2 linked regions of the Stegostoma tigrinum genome follow. Each later gene encodes a partner of the first gene's protein in a complex. Links are inferred from orthologs where the notes say so. Each region holds a gene or a part of one and is shown on either strand. Other genes may lie near its edges.

Region 1 (8,154 bases):
CATGTTTTTTCCCAGGTGGGTCTAAGGGGGAGTTTATAAAGGGGTTAAAGTTTTAACTAGAAGAGTCACATGCTGACTGCTCACAACTGTTTACCTGCACCTACAGTCTGTTAATTTGTAATTGTTTTTTATTCACTCACAGGATGTGGACATCACTCGCCAGCATTTACTGCCCATCCCTAATTGCCCAGAGGGCAGTTAAGAGTCAACCACATTGCTGTGGGTCTGGAGTCACGTGTAGGCCAGACCAGGTAAGGACAGCACATTCCATTCCCGAAGGGCATTAGCAAACCAGAGGGTTTTTCCTGACAATCGAGAATGGATTAATGGTCATCATTAGACCCTTAATTCCAGATTTTTAATTCAATTCAAATTCCACCATCTACCATGACAGGATACAAACCTTGGTTCACAGATCATTGCCAAGTTTCTTGATTAATACTCTAGCAGTAATACCATATGCCTTTGCATCCCCTAATAAAGTAATAAAGCAAAGTAATTACTTATGGAGTAGAGTAGAGTAGTGGAGTAATACAGCATGGAAACAGCCCCTTCTGCCCAAACTGGTCCATGGTGCCCACTCAGTCCCAATTGCCCACATTTGGTCCCTATCCCGCTAAACCCTTCCCATCCAAGTACCTATCCAAATGTTGTCTTCCATATTCGCACCACTCTCTGCGAGAAGAGGTTGCCCCTCAGGACCTTCCTAACTCTTTTCCCTCTCACCTTAAACCTATACCCTCTAGTTTTCAATTCCCCGTCCCTGGGAAAAACACTTCAATCCAACCCAAATAAAGTAATTCTTGTTAAGCACAGGAACCTGGTCCTGTGCTTTCTGCAGACCTGAGTCAATTAGTCATGTAGATCGGATAATTCTGCTTACTTTCAAAGTCTGTAACATTTATGACAATTCCAGGAATAGCAAGGCTTGACTTCAAATATGCTAACCAGATGCAACGTAAGAGAGGCAGCCTCACAGGGTAAATACTGAGACAATATTTCCTCTTGAGAGTGGCACAGTGGTGAGCACTGTGGCCTCACAGCACCAGGGACTTGGGTTTAACACCACCCTCAGCCAACAGCCTGTGTGGAGTTTGCATGTTCTCCCTGTGTCTGGGTGAGTTTTCTCCAGGTGCTCCATTTTCCTCCCAGAGTCAAAAGATATGTAGGTTAGGTGGATTAGCCAATGGGAAAATGCAGGGTTACAAAGGTATTGGTGGCGGTGGGACTGAGAGGGATGTTGTTTGGCATGTTGGTGAAGTCGATAGGTCGAATGGCCTGCTTCCACACAGTAGGGAGTCTACGGGGGAAAATGTGGGAACAGAGTTTCAAAGTAAGGCATTTTCCAGTTATGTTATACTGGGTCATTACATTTTTGAATTCTCTCATCCACAAAGAGTGGAGCCTGGCTGATTCAATCTATTCAAGGTTGAGTTTGATTTTTGTTTGATCAGGATGTTAAGGTTTGTGTAAAGTAGAATCGAGGCCACAAGGGAATGTGATGGCCCAATGGTATTATCACTGTACTGTTAATCTAGAGACCCGGATAACTTTCTGGGATCCAGAGTTCAAATCCCAGCACAGCATCATTCACCCACATCATAACTGGGAGATCAAACAGGCCACTGTGAAATTTAATAAATAGATAGATCATCAATGATTTGCATGGAAGCCATCAAATTGTATAAAAAATTAACTTCATCTGTCAAACAAGAAACATTTCTGAAAAAACATTCTCAAAAATCATATTTGAAACCAAATTGAAGGCACAGTGTCAGACACAGGCAAAGTCTCCAGGAGATTCATCACTGGACACCAGGTGGACTCCACTAACAACAAGCACAAAAAAAACAGGGAAATCAAATCATAGCAAATTACAGCAAATTCACATACATTCATATGTACCACAAGCTTTTTTCATAACTTAAAATGAAATTCATCCAGATGAGACTCCACCAACAAAAATTGGCCCACCCATTGGGTGAAATGGTCAGATCTTAACAAACGCACCTCAGAAACAGATCTCCAAACTTGGTTATTTAGTCATAGTTGATACATTTCAAATATCTTCATTTCAAAATATATTACACTTACTGAGAAGCTGACTGGTGTGGACTGTTGGGCTTAAAATTTATTCTCCTTGATGAACAATCAGAATAGACACTGATAAAAGACTTGGTAAATACTAAGACTGTATATTTCTGACAGCTAATAATTTTCTGATGCATAGTTCAAAATATTGCCAACTACTACCTTTTAATACAAACAGAAATACATTATGTTCCTTTGCACTCAATGGAGATTTAGTGCTTGTGATGATGCAAACAAATTTTTCACTGCAATCCAACAAATATAACTTTCTCATTATCCCGCGAAGGAAATTTAATCCAGCAGTTTCTTAAATAACATGAATCAAATGAGTAAGAAGGACCCTGACATGAAGGGGAGGAGATGGGTGGGCAGTGGGAGATGCGAGGGTGGGGGGTGTGGGGGGGCAGGAGATGCGAGGGTGGGGGTGTGGGGGGGGGAGGAGATGCGAGGGTGGGGGTGTGGGGGGGGGGAGGAGATGCGAGGGTGGGGGTGTGGGGGGGGGGAGGAGATGCGAGGGTGGGGGTGTGGGGGGGGGGAGGAGATGCGAGGGTGGGGGTGTGGGGGGAGGGGGTGTGGGGTGTGGGGGGAGGAGATGGGGGGATCGGAGATGGAGGGGTGTAGATGGGAGGGTGGGGGGAGAGATGGAGAAAGGTGAAGGGGAGGGGGAGGATGGGTGGGGGGGGTGGGTGGGGATAGGGGATGGGGGGATGGAGGGAGGGGGGAGGAGGATGGGGGGGATCGATGGGGGGGCGGAGGATGGGGGGCGGGGGATGGGGGGCGGAGGATGGGGGGGAGATCGTTGATCGTCATATCAAGCTGCCCCTCATTCCCCCACCATGTCCCCCCCCCCCAACCCCACTCACCCGCGGCTCCAGCCCGGGCTCCGCGCTTCCTCTCGGTTCCGGCTCCGCGCCCCCAGCGGCACCCCGTTTCCGGTCCGTCCGTGAAACCCATCCCTGGGACTGTGCCAGCCCGTAACCAATCAGACCACGGTGCCTCCCAGAGAAGGTCCGGGGCAGCCGCTTTGGACGCTGCCCGAAGGTTCCGGGCCGAGACCGCGCGCCCTCAATGCTGGGGGTGTGCACCAGGAGCCGGGCTTAGCCCTTCCCTCCACCGGCTTCAGAACCAAACGCAGGCCGATGCTGTAAATATTGCATTGCAGGGGGAGGTGTTTGATGAAACAGTTGAAGATGGTTAGAAAAAACAATTTAACAGATTTAATAACTTCCAAAGCGGCTTCAGGAACAAAATTAAATGAAGATATGAACCAAAAACAAGAAATTAGGAAGATGGGGGTAACTCTGCCTCAGAGCTAGCCCACACTGGGCGGGCTGAATGCCCAGTGCTGTCGTGTTTCATGATTCTTCCAACAAACACCAAACCATTCCCAGTTTAAAGCGGATGTGGAAGATGTTTGATGAAGTAATCCCTCAGAATGCTCCAGGTCTCACTCCAGCCTTCCTGAGCCTGACTGTCCCGGGGGAGAACGTCCACAGAAACCCTTTAAGGCAAAACTTTCTCACATTAATATTCATTTGGTGATGGATCTGAGCGGGGACATTATCTCCTGTAACCGCCCCCAAGCAGAGGGAGTGAAGCTGCCTCATGAATTCAGGAAAGGGACTGTCAGGAGGTGATGTGGATGAACGGATTTGTTCTGGTCACCCCGGATTCCCATTTATCAGGAAACCGCTGACATTGTGGTGGCAACATCAGAAATCTACTTCTGGTCATCTCACTCAGGTTAGCAAAACCTCTTATATGAGTGGGCTGAATGGTTATCTACTTTGTGATACTAGGAATCAGCACACAACTCTGAGCAACCATGTCAGATTTTTTTAAAAAAATCAAATTGGTGTAATTTTAAAAAAGCAAAGTTTATGTTTAATTCCCTGAGCTGCTGTTGGCCGTACTAAATCTGTTACAATCCCATAACACCCCAGTAGAATGTTCACTGAGATTAAACCTGGGTGTGAATTCAACTCTGTAGCAGGTAAGGCTGGGCCACGCAAGGAGTATTACAGCCGGTCTGAAGTAGGAACACATGCTTCTGATTCCTGTACAGTGTCCCATCCTGGGAAGTCACTGTTAAAAGAATGATATCTGGACTGCTCCTGAGATGCTGCTTGGCCTGCTGTGTTCATCCAGCTTCACACTTTGTTATCTTGGACTTCAGGAGTTGTATTATGATGACAGACTATACCATGTAAGGCCTGATCAAAGTCTTCACTATGTTAACAGAAAAAGACAGGGTAGGTAAAGATAAACTATTTCTATTGACTAAGATTTGAGAAGTAGGGGCATAGACCATTAAGAAGAGACATTAGGAAGTACTTCTACACACAAAGGGTAGGAGGGGTTTGGAACTCACTTTCACAAATGTCACTTGCTGCTGGATCAGTTGTTACTTTTAAATCTTATGCTTAACAAAAAAGTTAGTTAAGAATTAAATAACATGGGCCAAACCAACCAGGATCTCATTGAAAGGAGTGAGTGAGTGAGTGAGTGAGTGACACACACTGAGTATAATCCATATGCCAATGAGAAGCTGTGGTGTGGCAGCTGATTTACTGGATTAATCCATTAAACTGGGGAACAGGGGTTCAAATCCCACCAGGGTGAATGGTGAAATATGAATTCAATAAAATTTGAAATAAAAGCTGGCCTAATGGTGACCATGCAACCATTGTTGATTGATGTAAAAACCCACCTGGTTGATGAATGTCCTTTAGAGAAGGATCTTAAGTGGTCTTGCCCACACAACTCCAGACCCACAGCAAAGTGGCTGACTCCTACCTGTCCTCTGAAAGGGCCTGGGAAGACGCTGTTGTGTATCTAAATAAAGGAATATAACTGGAAAGACCAGCCTCCACCAACCAAGGCACTAGAAACAAAGTAAAACGCTTCCTTATGAACCCAACAGAGTCTTGTCCCTTGGATATGTCCTGTCCTGCCAGGAGAGGGGGAAGCAGTGGTATATAGTTGAAAGGGAGTCACCCTGGAAGTGCTCAGCATGGACTCTGGACAGACCGAAGTCTCAGGGCATCAGGTTAAACATGGGCAAGGAAACCTCCTGCCGATTACCATGTATCATTCTCCCTAAGCTAATGAATCAGTACTCCTCCATGTTGGTGGTTAACACCTAGAGGAAACACTGAGTATGGCAAGTGCCCAAAATGTACTCTGGGTGGGGGATTTCAATGCCCACCATGAACAGTGGCTCAGCAGCAGTAAGCCTGATCGGGCTGGTCAGGTCCTATAGGACATAGCTGCTAGACTGGGCCTGCAGCAGGTGGTGAGGGAATCAAAAAAGAAAAACAGACTAACAGACTTGACCTCATCCTGACCAAGCTGCTGGTTGCAGATGCACTGGCCCATGACAGCATCAGTAAGAGTGACCACTGCACAGTTCTTGTGGGCATGAAGTCCCACCCTCACTCTCTATCATGTTGTATGGCACTATAACCAGACTAAATGACTTCAACAGATCTAACAACTCAAGACTGGTCATCCATGGAGGCCATCAGCAGCAGCATTGTACTCTAGCACAATCTGCAACCTCCTAGCACTCGTATCACCCATTCAACCATTACGATCAAGCCAGAACTGCACACACTATTCCAGCTATGGCCTACAGTTGTATATAGCTCCATCTTAACTTCCTCATTTTTATACCCTATGCCTTGAAAAATAAAAGGCAAGTATCCCAAAAGCCTTTTAACCACTATTCACTTGTCCTGTTGCCTCCAATCATTTATGGTCCCCCTGATTCTGGATGTAAGTTTGCTCGCTGAGCTGGAAAGTTCGTTTTCAGACGTTTTGTCACCATTCTAGGTAACCTCATCAGTGAGCCTCCAGTGAAGCGCTGGTGTTATGTCCCGCTTTCTATTTATCGGTTTAGGTTTCCTTGGGTTGGTGATGTCATTTCCTGCGTTGGTGATGTAATTTCCTGTTCTTTTTCTCAGAGGGTGGTAGATTGGCTCCAAGCCAATGTGTTTGTTGATGGAGTTCCGGTTGGAATGCCATGCTTCTAGGAATTCTCGTGCATGTCTCTGTTTGGCTTGTCCTAGGATGGATGTGTTGTCCCAATCAAAGTGGTGTCCTTCCTCATCTGTATATAAGGATACGAGTGATAGTGGGTCATGTCGTTTTGTGGCTGAATCCCCGGATTCCATAATTCCTTGGGTCCTACCATTCATCATATACTCCTTTACTTTATAAGTCCTTCAAATTTTCAGAATTAAATTCTATTTGCCATTGTCCCGCCCATCTGACTACTGTCCTATAACCAGAGGCTCTCCTCTTTGCTATTTACCACATCATTAAACTTTAGTGTAGTGTAAACTTACTGGTAAAACGTACAATCAATGATAAGGACATGAATAATCTAGGATTCACACAAGTAGACGAGGAACAGCAAGGAACCCAGGCTTTCAGTCACAAGAGACTTTTACCGTCATCTTCTGTTTCCTGTCACTGAACCAATATTTTGAATCTAATTTGCTAAAATTGGCCTGGATTCAATGGACTTTTACTTTTATGCCCAGTCTGCTATTTAGAGTATATCCAATGCACTACATTGAAATTTTTTTCAAGAGGTGACAAGCTGAATCAATCAAATTTGACAATTTCCCCTCTGACAAAGCCACGATATGCCTGATTAATTCTTTCCCCATCCAAATGGAGATAGAATTCTATCCTCAGAAATTTCTCCCAACTGATGTCAGACTCACTGGCCTATCCCTACCATGGCAGTTATTTACCAATCCCCAGCACCTCTCCTGTATCTAAACTTTTAAAATTGACATCAATGCTCCTACAATTTCCTCGCTTGCCTCCCACACTGATTGTTTGAATGTGACATCAAGAAGCTCTAAGCAAAAGTATAATTAATAGGAACTGGGGAAAATCTTTTTGCTGGTTGAAGTCATACTTGGAAGATGGCTGTGGCTAGAGGTCAGACATCTCAGCTCCAGAATATCTCTGCAGAGTTCCTCAGGGTAGTGTCATAGGCTCAGCCATCTTCAGCTGCTTCAATGACCCTCCGTCCATCGGAAGGAAGGTCAGGAGTGGGGGATGTTTCCACAATGTCCAGCAGCAGTCACAACTCTTCAAATTCAGAAACAGGCCTCGACAATATCCTGGCATAGTGCCACAGAAAGATCTTCTCCAATAAAAAGGTAATCTAACAATCACCCCTTGACATTCAATGATGTTACCATCACTGATGCTACTATCAACAGCCTGAGGGTTACCTTTGACCAGAAACTGAACTAGGTTAGCTATTTAAACTAGTGACTTTCAGAAAGCATAAGAGGTTAAGCAACCTATAAAGTGTAACTCATGCCCTGACTCCCCAAAGCAGGTCCACCATCTGCAAGGCACAAGGCAGGAGTGCGGTGGAATGCTCCCCACTTGATGGATGGGTGCAGCTTAACAACACTCAAAGCTCAATACCATCCAGGACAAAGCAGGTCCCACTTGACTGGCAATCTACCACCTTCAATGTTCACTCCATTCACCACTAACGCACAGTGGCAGCAGTGTATGCTATCTACAAGATACATCACAGTAACTCATCCAACAGGACCTTCCACACAATCACCACCATCAAGGGCAGCAGATAATTGGGAATATGGTAAGATCCCCTCCAAACCACTCAACCAGACCGCAGAAATATATCACTGTTCCTTCAGCCTCACTGGCTGCAAATCCTGGAACTAACAGGCTTGTGCATGTCACATTGATTCAAGAAGGAAGCTCACCGCAAGCTTCTCCAATTGCGAATAGGCACAACACACATCTCCCATAGATCCAAAAAACCTATCCCAGAGTCCACTACTACTGGGTTTGTGCCTCATGCTGGGTGTCACAGAATCAGCATTGTGCAGCACAGGCAAGTGAACCATTCATTTGGTGCATTTCTCTTGTTCTCTGTAAGCCTGCAGGTTCTTCCTTTTGAAAGGACACTCTCTGGAATCTACCTCCACTATACCCTGAAGGTTTGTATTCCAGGTTTTAGCCACAAACCAGTCCTGAAAAGGGTTAAATGAGGAATCCTGA
Region 2 (8,198 bases), on another chromosome or scaffold:
CATTAAAGTTGCATTCTTGGGTGGATGTAAACAATCTCATCACATTTTGAAGAGCAGGGAAATTACCCCAGAGTCTTGGCAATATTTAGCCTTCAACTGACACCTGAAACATTTCCTGGTTATTCTCACATCTGTTTGTAAAGCTTGACTTGTTACAATTACCACTGTATTTCTTACTCTACTACTGGTCTATTGGCTATAAAGCTAAATTGTCATGAAAGGCATAAAATTAATGCAAGTCCTCTTCATTTACAATAAAGTTTGACCTTCAATTAAAATTGCCCCAAGAATTAAAAGGAATAATTCAAAACATTTAATTAGGTTAATTAAGTGTTTAAAACATCAAAATAAGTGTTAAAGTTCCAAAACTTTAGAATCTGAATAGGCTATACATTTGGACACAATCATTCTCAACGACCTTAACAGCATAATAATGCAACACAAGAATTCCAAAACTCAACATAGCAAAGTGCTCCAAAGACTATGGGGAATAACAGCACTGGACAATCATATAACCACAATACTGATGACAAGATGGAGTTAAAGTACAGCAGACATAAAGGCATTAACAACTACATTTTTCTCCTGGAAGAACTCTAGAAATCTAACAAACCAGTTTATAAAGCAAGATGTCAATGGAAATTTAATAGATTATTCAGATATCAAAGTGATCTAACTTAGAAAGATATTGTCTGACCTAAATTTAAGTTGTCAAGTGCCAGTGTCTTGTAAAGTAGTACTTTTTACTGCTTGATATAGATAAATATTAAAATCTAGTGCGTTTTATTCGGTCAGTGAGATATTTACACTGACCATTCAAGCATTCTCATATTTAAAGTGAAAAGTTTAAATCCTCGATAAGCGCCAAAAAAATTAGAGATAAACTGACATTACAAGACTGAATGGAATAACTTTCATGTAATGCCTTTGTATAATCTTAAATCACAGGGATAACATGACTTTCGTGAGTTTTTTTTAAAAAGAGAATCTTGAAAATGATAAAACAATAAGCGAAAAAGTGTACCAGAGATTTATCAGAACTCCTCCACTTCTTTACAAAATTTCCAAGAGCCTTTCGAACTCAGTTTAAATCGGACACTAACCTCCAGAACCGAGAAGTCAACTAAAATGGCGCTCCGAGTAGAAAATATAATTTAAACGGAGGTCGCCATGTTGCGTATTTGCAAACACATTAAGTGAAGGAAAGGAAGGCATCCGGCTCGGTGCCCAGATGGGTGCTCAGGGACCAGGCCTATTTGTAGGAAACTATCCCTGAGGACAAACAAGGCCATGATGATGAGAAGCGGATAGGTGTGTTTAGTCACTGTGCCCCTATCCTACCCATCTTGCTACCATATACTTTAATGAGACCCTAACTGCAAAGTCAGAAGAGGGGTGCATTGGCAATGAAGATCCGAATGTGGTGACAGCAGAACCTCCTCCAATTAACGGGACAACCACTTGTTTAAGCGTGTATAGCTTCCTTCACCTTTCTAAAGTTCAGGTCCAGCTGCAGGATTCGCTTAGACCTCTCAAACGTGGAGCGGGGGCAGGGGGAGAGAAGAGAGCAGGACAAGGAAATCGTTTAGCCGCAACAACTGCAGTACAGAAAGCAGCCACTAAAACACAACCGAGGTCCACACACCTTGAGGCCAAACCTAGGAAACTACACCTAAAACCACACACCAGCCTGGGAAAGACAGCAGACAAAAAAAAACACACAAAAACCCAAGAAGGTTTAAACCAAAGATAACAAGGTATAGAGCTGGATGAAGCAGGCCGCTCTCTATCAAGAAACCCCCATCCCCAGTATCACAGATCCCCGAGTTAGGTGTCCCCCTCTGTAAGAGGGGCTGGAGGAAAGATCGACGCTTGCATCAAGTACTGACCAGCACTGGAGGTGGAAGGCGGCCGGGCAATGGTCGCAGCAGAGTAGGTCTCCCCCCTCCTTGCAGCTATCGCAAGTGTCGTGGTTGGTGGCCCGGCCGCTCCGCCTCGGCTCCTTCTCCAGCTTCTTGGCCTTCTTGTCGCTCTCCTCGCTCTTCGGAGGGGCCAACAACGCTTGGATTTTCTGCAGCGAAGAGAATAAAAACAGGAAGAGAAGGGAGAAGGGTTGGCGGGGGGGTCGTAAGATTAAACCATTTTCACCATGCAGGCCGAAAAAAGACTAGACCCAAAACGTTTGTTTATTTAACAAAAAAGACGGTTGAGAAAGATAGATGCCATTTGTATTGAGGTTTTTTTAAATAAGCAAAAAGAAATGAATTTTGCTGTTTTTAATCCTAATCCTGGCTGTGGATTTGTTTGGGCGCGATCAGCAGCTGAGAGGAGCAAAGAAAAAGCCTCACCTCCATCAGCCCTCCGGAGGTATCCAAGTCGTAGACAATCGTCTTGGTCTCCATTTTATCCCACATTCAACACGGCCGCTTTTCTTTTCCTTTTTTAAAAAAAAGGTGGCGAGGCAGCAGCAGACAAGTTTCCCCCCCCCCCTTGAGCTGTCACCAACACCCACAAAAAATCCGTAAGGGGGGGGAAAGAGACGAAAATGGGTTTTTGGGGGGTGGAAAAGGGTCGGGGGGGGGTATTCACCCCCCTCAAACCCTGGCTTAGCTTCCCACTTTCTTGGCCAAAACGAAGGCACAGATCGGGACCAGTGTCCGAGAAAAAACAATCAGAATAATAATAATAATAGTAATATTTATAAATCCACAAGAAATCCCGGCTCGCGATTCAACGGGCTCCAGCGACGACAGCAGCAGCAACAACGCAGCCAGGCCTCGACCAGGGCCTAACCGACACGAAGCCTTCCCTGGGCGACAATAATATTCGTGTCGAACCACTTGCTTTCCATCCGTGCGAAGAGACCCCCCCAGAGGCACCACCATGAAGCGGATAAATCCTGAAGCCGGACGGACTGTGGGGAGGGAGGAGAAGGCCACGGCTGCCGGAGGCGATCTGTCACCCGGTTCTCGGTGCTGTCTGAAGGCCGCCAGCACATACACAAACACTCGGAGGCCAGGCTGCTCGCTTTACATTTTTTCTCTCTCTGCCTCCAAGTTGGCGCAAACTTTCCACACACACACACACACACACCACACACGTACTGCGCAAGTGCCTGCTGGTTGATGGGGGGATGGGAGAGGAAGGGGAGGAAAAGAGAAGAAAGGGGCATACGACTGCGCACGCGCCGGGTCTTTCCAAGCAAGTAGCCAACGCGCCTGCGCAACCGGCCGTTGGGGTTTTTTGTTACTCTATCGCTGCGCCTGCGCGAAATGCGCACGCGTGCCCGTCGGAAGGGTGAGGGGCTGAGGCTCGCGGTCATCTCTTGACGTCAGCCCCCGACTCCCCGTCGCGTGATCGCGATCCGGGCAGCGCTCGGCCAATCCGCTTCCACTCCCTTTCTCCCTCCCGCCCTTCTGCCTCTCACCCTAACTTTACAAACCCTCCCCCTCCCCCACAATCCATTCATTGACAAGTCCGCATGCGCAGCCTACCTCCCGCACAACGACCCCCATTTACTGCGCATGTCCTGTGTCAAGACTGCGTTAGGCAGTAACGTGAGGATGCGGCTTCTTGGGAGCAGTAGTGTAAGTTACGAGGGTGCCTTGAATCTCGAGCAGCTTCCAAATCCTACAAACTTGCGAGTTGTTATTTGCACTTATTTGTCCTGTTCTTGACCTTAACTTGGAGTTGCCCTTAAGTTATTTGATTTTGTAGACATGGACGAAGGTGGTTTATGTGTACTCTCATTTCATATTTTATCATGTCAACATATGCTGTGACCTGTGATGAAAAGTGTCAGTAGTTTTGATTTCAGTTTCGTGTAACCTTTCACGAAATTAATCAAAGAGAGCCGTAATTTGAAATTAGACAAGATCATGAACCTTGCATTTTGCAGCCAATTCTGAGTAAAAAGTAACTACATTCACCATGACAACATGTATTTTGTATACAGTCTGTGGGATAGGAAAATGTCCTGAAGTGTTATATTGCACAAGAATTGAAAAAAAATCAGAAATATCAGGACAAAAACTTGGTCAAAAAGCTGACTGTCTACTGAAGTACAGTGAAAAATTTTGTTTACAAGCAGTACAGGCAGATCATAGTAAAGAAGGATTTACTTTGATCTATATGGGTTACATTGCACAGGTCATGTGCTAGGCGAAATCGATGTTTAGCAAGATCAACCTTATTTGAGACAAGAGAGTCCATTTATCAGTCTAATAACGGTCAGGCAAAAGCTGTTCCTGAACCTGATGGTGCGTGTGTTCAGGCTTCAGTATCTTCTGCCTGACAGAAGAGGTTGTAGGAGATCATTGCAGAAGTGCAATAGGTCTTTGCTGATGTTGGCTGCCTTTCCGCAGCAACCATGGAGTTGATGGATGGAAGGTTGGCTTCCATGATGTTTTGGACTGTGCACACAATCTTCTGTAGTTTCTTGTCATCCGAGGCAGAGCTGTTGCCGTACCAGGCCGTTATGCACCCAGACAGTATGCTTTCAATTTTTCATCTGCGGAAGTTGGTGAGCGTCCTTATGGGCATGCCAAATTTCCTGAGATGCCTGAGGAAGAAGAGTCACCTATGTGGGAAGTCCAGGACAGGTTGTCAGTTATCGTTACTTCGAGGAACTTGATGCTCACCACTCTTTCAACTTCAATTCTGTTGTTGTAGATGGGGGTGTGTCTCCTCCTTTCTTTCTGAAGCCAATATTCAGTTCTTTAGTTTTGCTAACACTGAAAAATAGGTTGGTCTCATTTCACCATGTCGCTAAGCCTCTATCTCCCTTCTGTACTTTGACTCATGGTTGTTAGATATCCGTCCTGCTACAGTGGTGTCGTCCATGAATTTGCAGATGACATTTGTTTGGAATTTGGCATCATAGCCATCAGTGTACATGGAGTACAATAGGGGGCTCAGGACACATACTTGTTGGGGGGGGGGGTCTCCAGCGTTGACTGTTATTGCAAAGAATGTACAGTTACCCATCTTCAGCTGTATATATTATGGAAAATCTGGATGAAACAAAATTGTAGAAGTGAGAGAAGGTTTCTCATAGCTTTGGGTCTTGATGCCTGGTTGTGAAGATTTGTGGATATGTAAGAGGCCAGAATTAGAGAAATGCTAATTTGGACGCAGATCTGAATGGGCAGCGGACTGAATCTTGATGGAAGTTTTAAGAATTTTTAAAACTGTGTCCTGTATCAAGATAGCTTGGTTTGTTTTCTTTTGACCTTGATTTTGGCTTTGGCTTTGGCTTTTGTGCAATGAACTTCTCCTATTAAACCCTGTGTACTTGTGTGTCAGTGAATGACCAGCAAATTAATTAAGATGTTAAGAAGTCTATTAAGCCAGGTTTCATTCTATGATCTGATTTGTTGAACAGTACAATCCACTGCAATCATAACATTCATGTGAAAAGCTATGTATTGTTCATGGCAAGAATCTCACCTCATTAAGTCTCATCAGCAGTTTACCTCTAACACCGTAAACTGAACCATGGTAACCTGATCAAGGAAAGAGAATAGTGGCAGAAATCTAACCGTAGCATAAGCTGGTAGTGATTGGCATTGCAGCACATAAATCAGAAAGATTGTGACTGTGAAGGGATTTGAATACAGGGATGAGAAATTTTTAATTTGAAGTGTTGATCATCAATATATAGTAGAGAGTAGAAGGGTAGTAAGTGCATTGGAAATAAGGCCTCTTCTGAAGCAGCAGAGTTTTAAACAAGGTCAAGCTTTTGAAGCGTGCAAAAAGAGTAGGTTACCAGACAGAATCGGAATGGGTGACTGTAGAGGTGACAAAAGCAGGGATAAATTTTCAGCAACAGCTCAATTATTTCTGGTTTTGCGCTGAGAATGGTGGCCTTTAATTTGGAAACAAATATTCAGTTGTGAATTCTGAAATTGAATCTTCCTTGGCCCGTGGCTGCTCAAGTTTTTCCTCCAAGGCCATCTGCAGCTTCCTGCACTGAAACTCAGCATTTTGCAGCAGCTATGCTGTAGCCAGTGGAATATCACTTCAGAGGAGCATCCGGACAGGAAAGAAGATATAGATTTCAGGAACTTTGCAAATATGCAGGCTGATTAGTTCAATTGTATATGCAATCTAAGTATTGATAGCATTTGGTACCATATCAGACTTTTAACCTGAGGGTCTCTCTGCGCGTATTAACATTTTGTTCTTTCCTAATCTCATGTCAGTGATGTCCAGTTTCCCACCGACCGGATAGAAACTAGATGGTGAGTTTTCCTGACATGAAAGTCAGAGTTGTTGCCTGGCAACTCTAGATCGCCACATATTCTTCTGGTCCTCTATCTTGGACAACATCCGAGGGAATATTTCATGGCAGAAAACATAGGGGGACTCCTGGTTAGACAAGCCTGGTGACATTTGTGGCGAGAGGGCACAGACATTCTAGATGTGTTCAGCACAGAAGTTGGTGCACCTTCCTCGGTTTGAACTCCCGTAGGGGTGAGGATGGTAGTCAGTGTTGATATAGAAGGTGCAGCCAGCTCTAGGGTCATTTTAGAGTAGACTTCTGGGGAGCCTATATGTAGCTCCTCCTCTGGCTAGATTTGTACTAGTTGGGGCCTCTCACTTGTGAGAAAGGGGCACTTGGACTTACCGTAAGGTCCCTTGTTCCTCTGTGGCATTGCTGTTGGTACTGGTTAGATTGATGGAGTATAGGCCTGTGCATAAATCTAGCTGGTGGTCTGTATGCTAGACTTGGGTCTCCATGACAATTGTCCATAGAGGCAGACAGACACTTCTGTGCCAAAGAAAGCACAGTACAAACAGCCTTGGTGGAATCCTCCAACCTTTGAGTTAGTTTGTCTCGTGCCTTCAACAAACCTGCTGGCTGCTTCTGTGTCTATTTGTGCATTTCGGTGAAGTTGTGATTTGTTGACCCTGTTGGGTCCCCTCCTACCAGAACCTGAGCAGGTGCCTGTTCTCCGGTAGTCATCAAAGTACCAGCAACTTTAGAGTAGTTCTTCCTTGGTCAACTGTGGAGATGTGGTAGTACTGTGCTTACCAACATGTCCTGCTGACTTTAATCCAGCTAAAATACCCGCTGATGTGTTAGAATCTGGGTTGGGAGAGGATGCAGTAGGCAGCCTAGCTAGTGCATCCTCTGAGGGAAACCATGACTACTTTCTCGAAGGTCAAGTAGATATCTTGTGGGGCCACCCTCTTGACAGTGGAAACCGTGCATGTTTCAATGGTGCTGACAGGAGACAAAAGACAACTTGTATCACAAGAAATGAGTTGATATTTTCACGCAGTAAAAATCCTTCTGTGCAAGCATGAATGCTGCTTTCTTCACTGAAGCTTTCCTTGTTTTGCTTTGCAAGATATTTCAGCCAGGAAGACATTGTGCTGCATGTGCTATGCTACAGTATTTCATCTTTTACATTGGCTTTTCTAGGCAAGAATTGTCCTCAGAGACCGAACTTTGGCTTCAATGTTGATTCCTATGGGAAACCGCACTTTACATAATGCTGGTTTTTGGGTAGGCCATTTAAGACGGAGACGAGGAGACATTTCTTCACCCAAAGAGTGGTGAGCCTGTTGAATTCATTACCACATGAAATAGTTGATGCCACAATGTTGAATGTATTCTAGAGGTGACCAGATATAGTATTTTGGGGTGATTGGGATCAAAGGTTATAGGGAGAAAGCAGGATCAGACTATTGTGTCGGGTGATTAGCCGTGGTTGTGATGAATGATCGAACAGGCTCGAAGGGATAGATCCCCTGCTCCTGTCTCCAATGTTTCAGTGCTTCTTTATTTCACTTAAAGTCATGATGTTCAGGAATGCAACTCTGACTTTAAGTGAGGATACCCTATATGCCCCTAAATCTCCTCCCTCACTTCCATCACAGGCCCCAAAAAACCCTTCCACATCAGACAGATATTCACCGGCACGTCCACTAATGTGGTCTATTGTATCCGCTGTTCCTGATGTGGCCTCCTCTACGTCGGTGAGACTAACCAGAGGCTGAGAGACCGCTTTGTAGAGCACCTACGCTCGGTTCATGACAAACAACAACACCTTCCAGTCATGAGCCACTTCAAATCCCCCCTCCCACTCTTGGACGACATGTCCATCCTTGGTCTCCTCCAGTGTGACAACAACGCTACCCAGAAACTGGAGGAGCAACACCTCTGTTAGGTTCGTTTTTCAGAGACCCTC

The links.
Region 2: the proteins of sin3b (region 1) and phf12b are in contact, whole or in part, in a cryo-EM structure (PDB 8BPA), measured with the Homo sapiens proteins. The link is inferred for Stegostoma tigrinum from reciprocal best matches to the Homo sapiens genes SIN3B and PHF12. Residues at the interface, in NP_056075.1 of Homo sapiens: Glu307, Phe311, Leu318, Glu322, Val323, Tyr324, Glu325, Asn326, Leu328, Arg329, Cys330, Ile331, Leu333, Phe334, Asn335, Glu343, Leu347, Pro350, Phe351, Lys354, Phe365, Lys395, Arg396, Glu490, Glu493, Leu494, Val497, Tyr545, Arg546, Ile547; in NP_001028733.1 of Homo sapiens: Leu20, Met21, Gln23, Ile24, Gln25, Leu27, Leu28, Pro30, Pro31, Lys32, Thr33, Asn264, Leu266, Val267, Leu269, Val271, Val273, Phe275, Thr276, Asn278, Arg279, Ser280, Arg282, Cys292, Pro293, Leu294, Pro316, Asn317, His318, Ile319.

What each region holds. Positions count from the first base shown.
Region 1 is NC_081383.1:940,878-949,031, forward strand, and holds the start of sin3b (paired amphipathic helix protein Sin3b), read right to left. Parts: upstream 3,053-8,154; 5' UTR 2,955-3,052; intron 1-2,954.
Region 2 is NC_081380.1:28,533,984-28,542,181, forward strand, and holds the start of phf12b (PHD finger protein 12), read right to left. Parts: upstream 3,148-8,198; 5' UTR 2,415-3,147; coding exon 2,349-2,414; intron 2,072-2,348; coding exon 1,890-2,071; intron 1-1,889.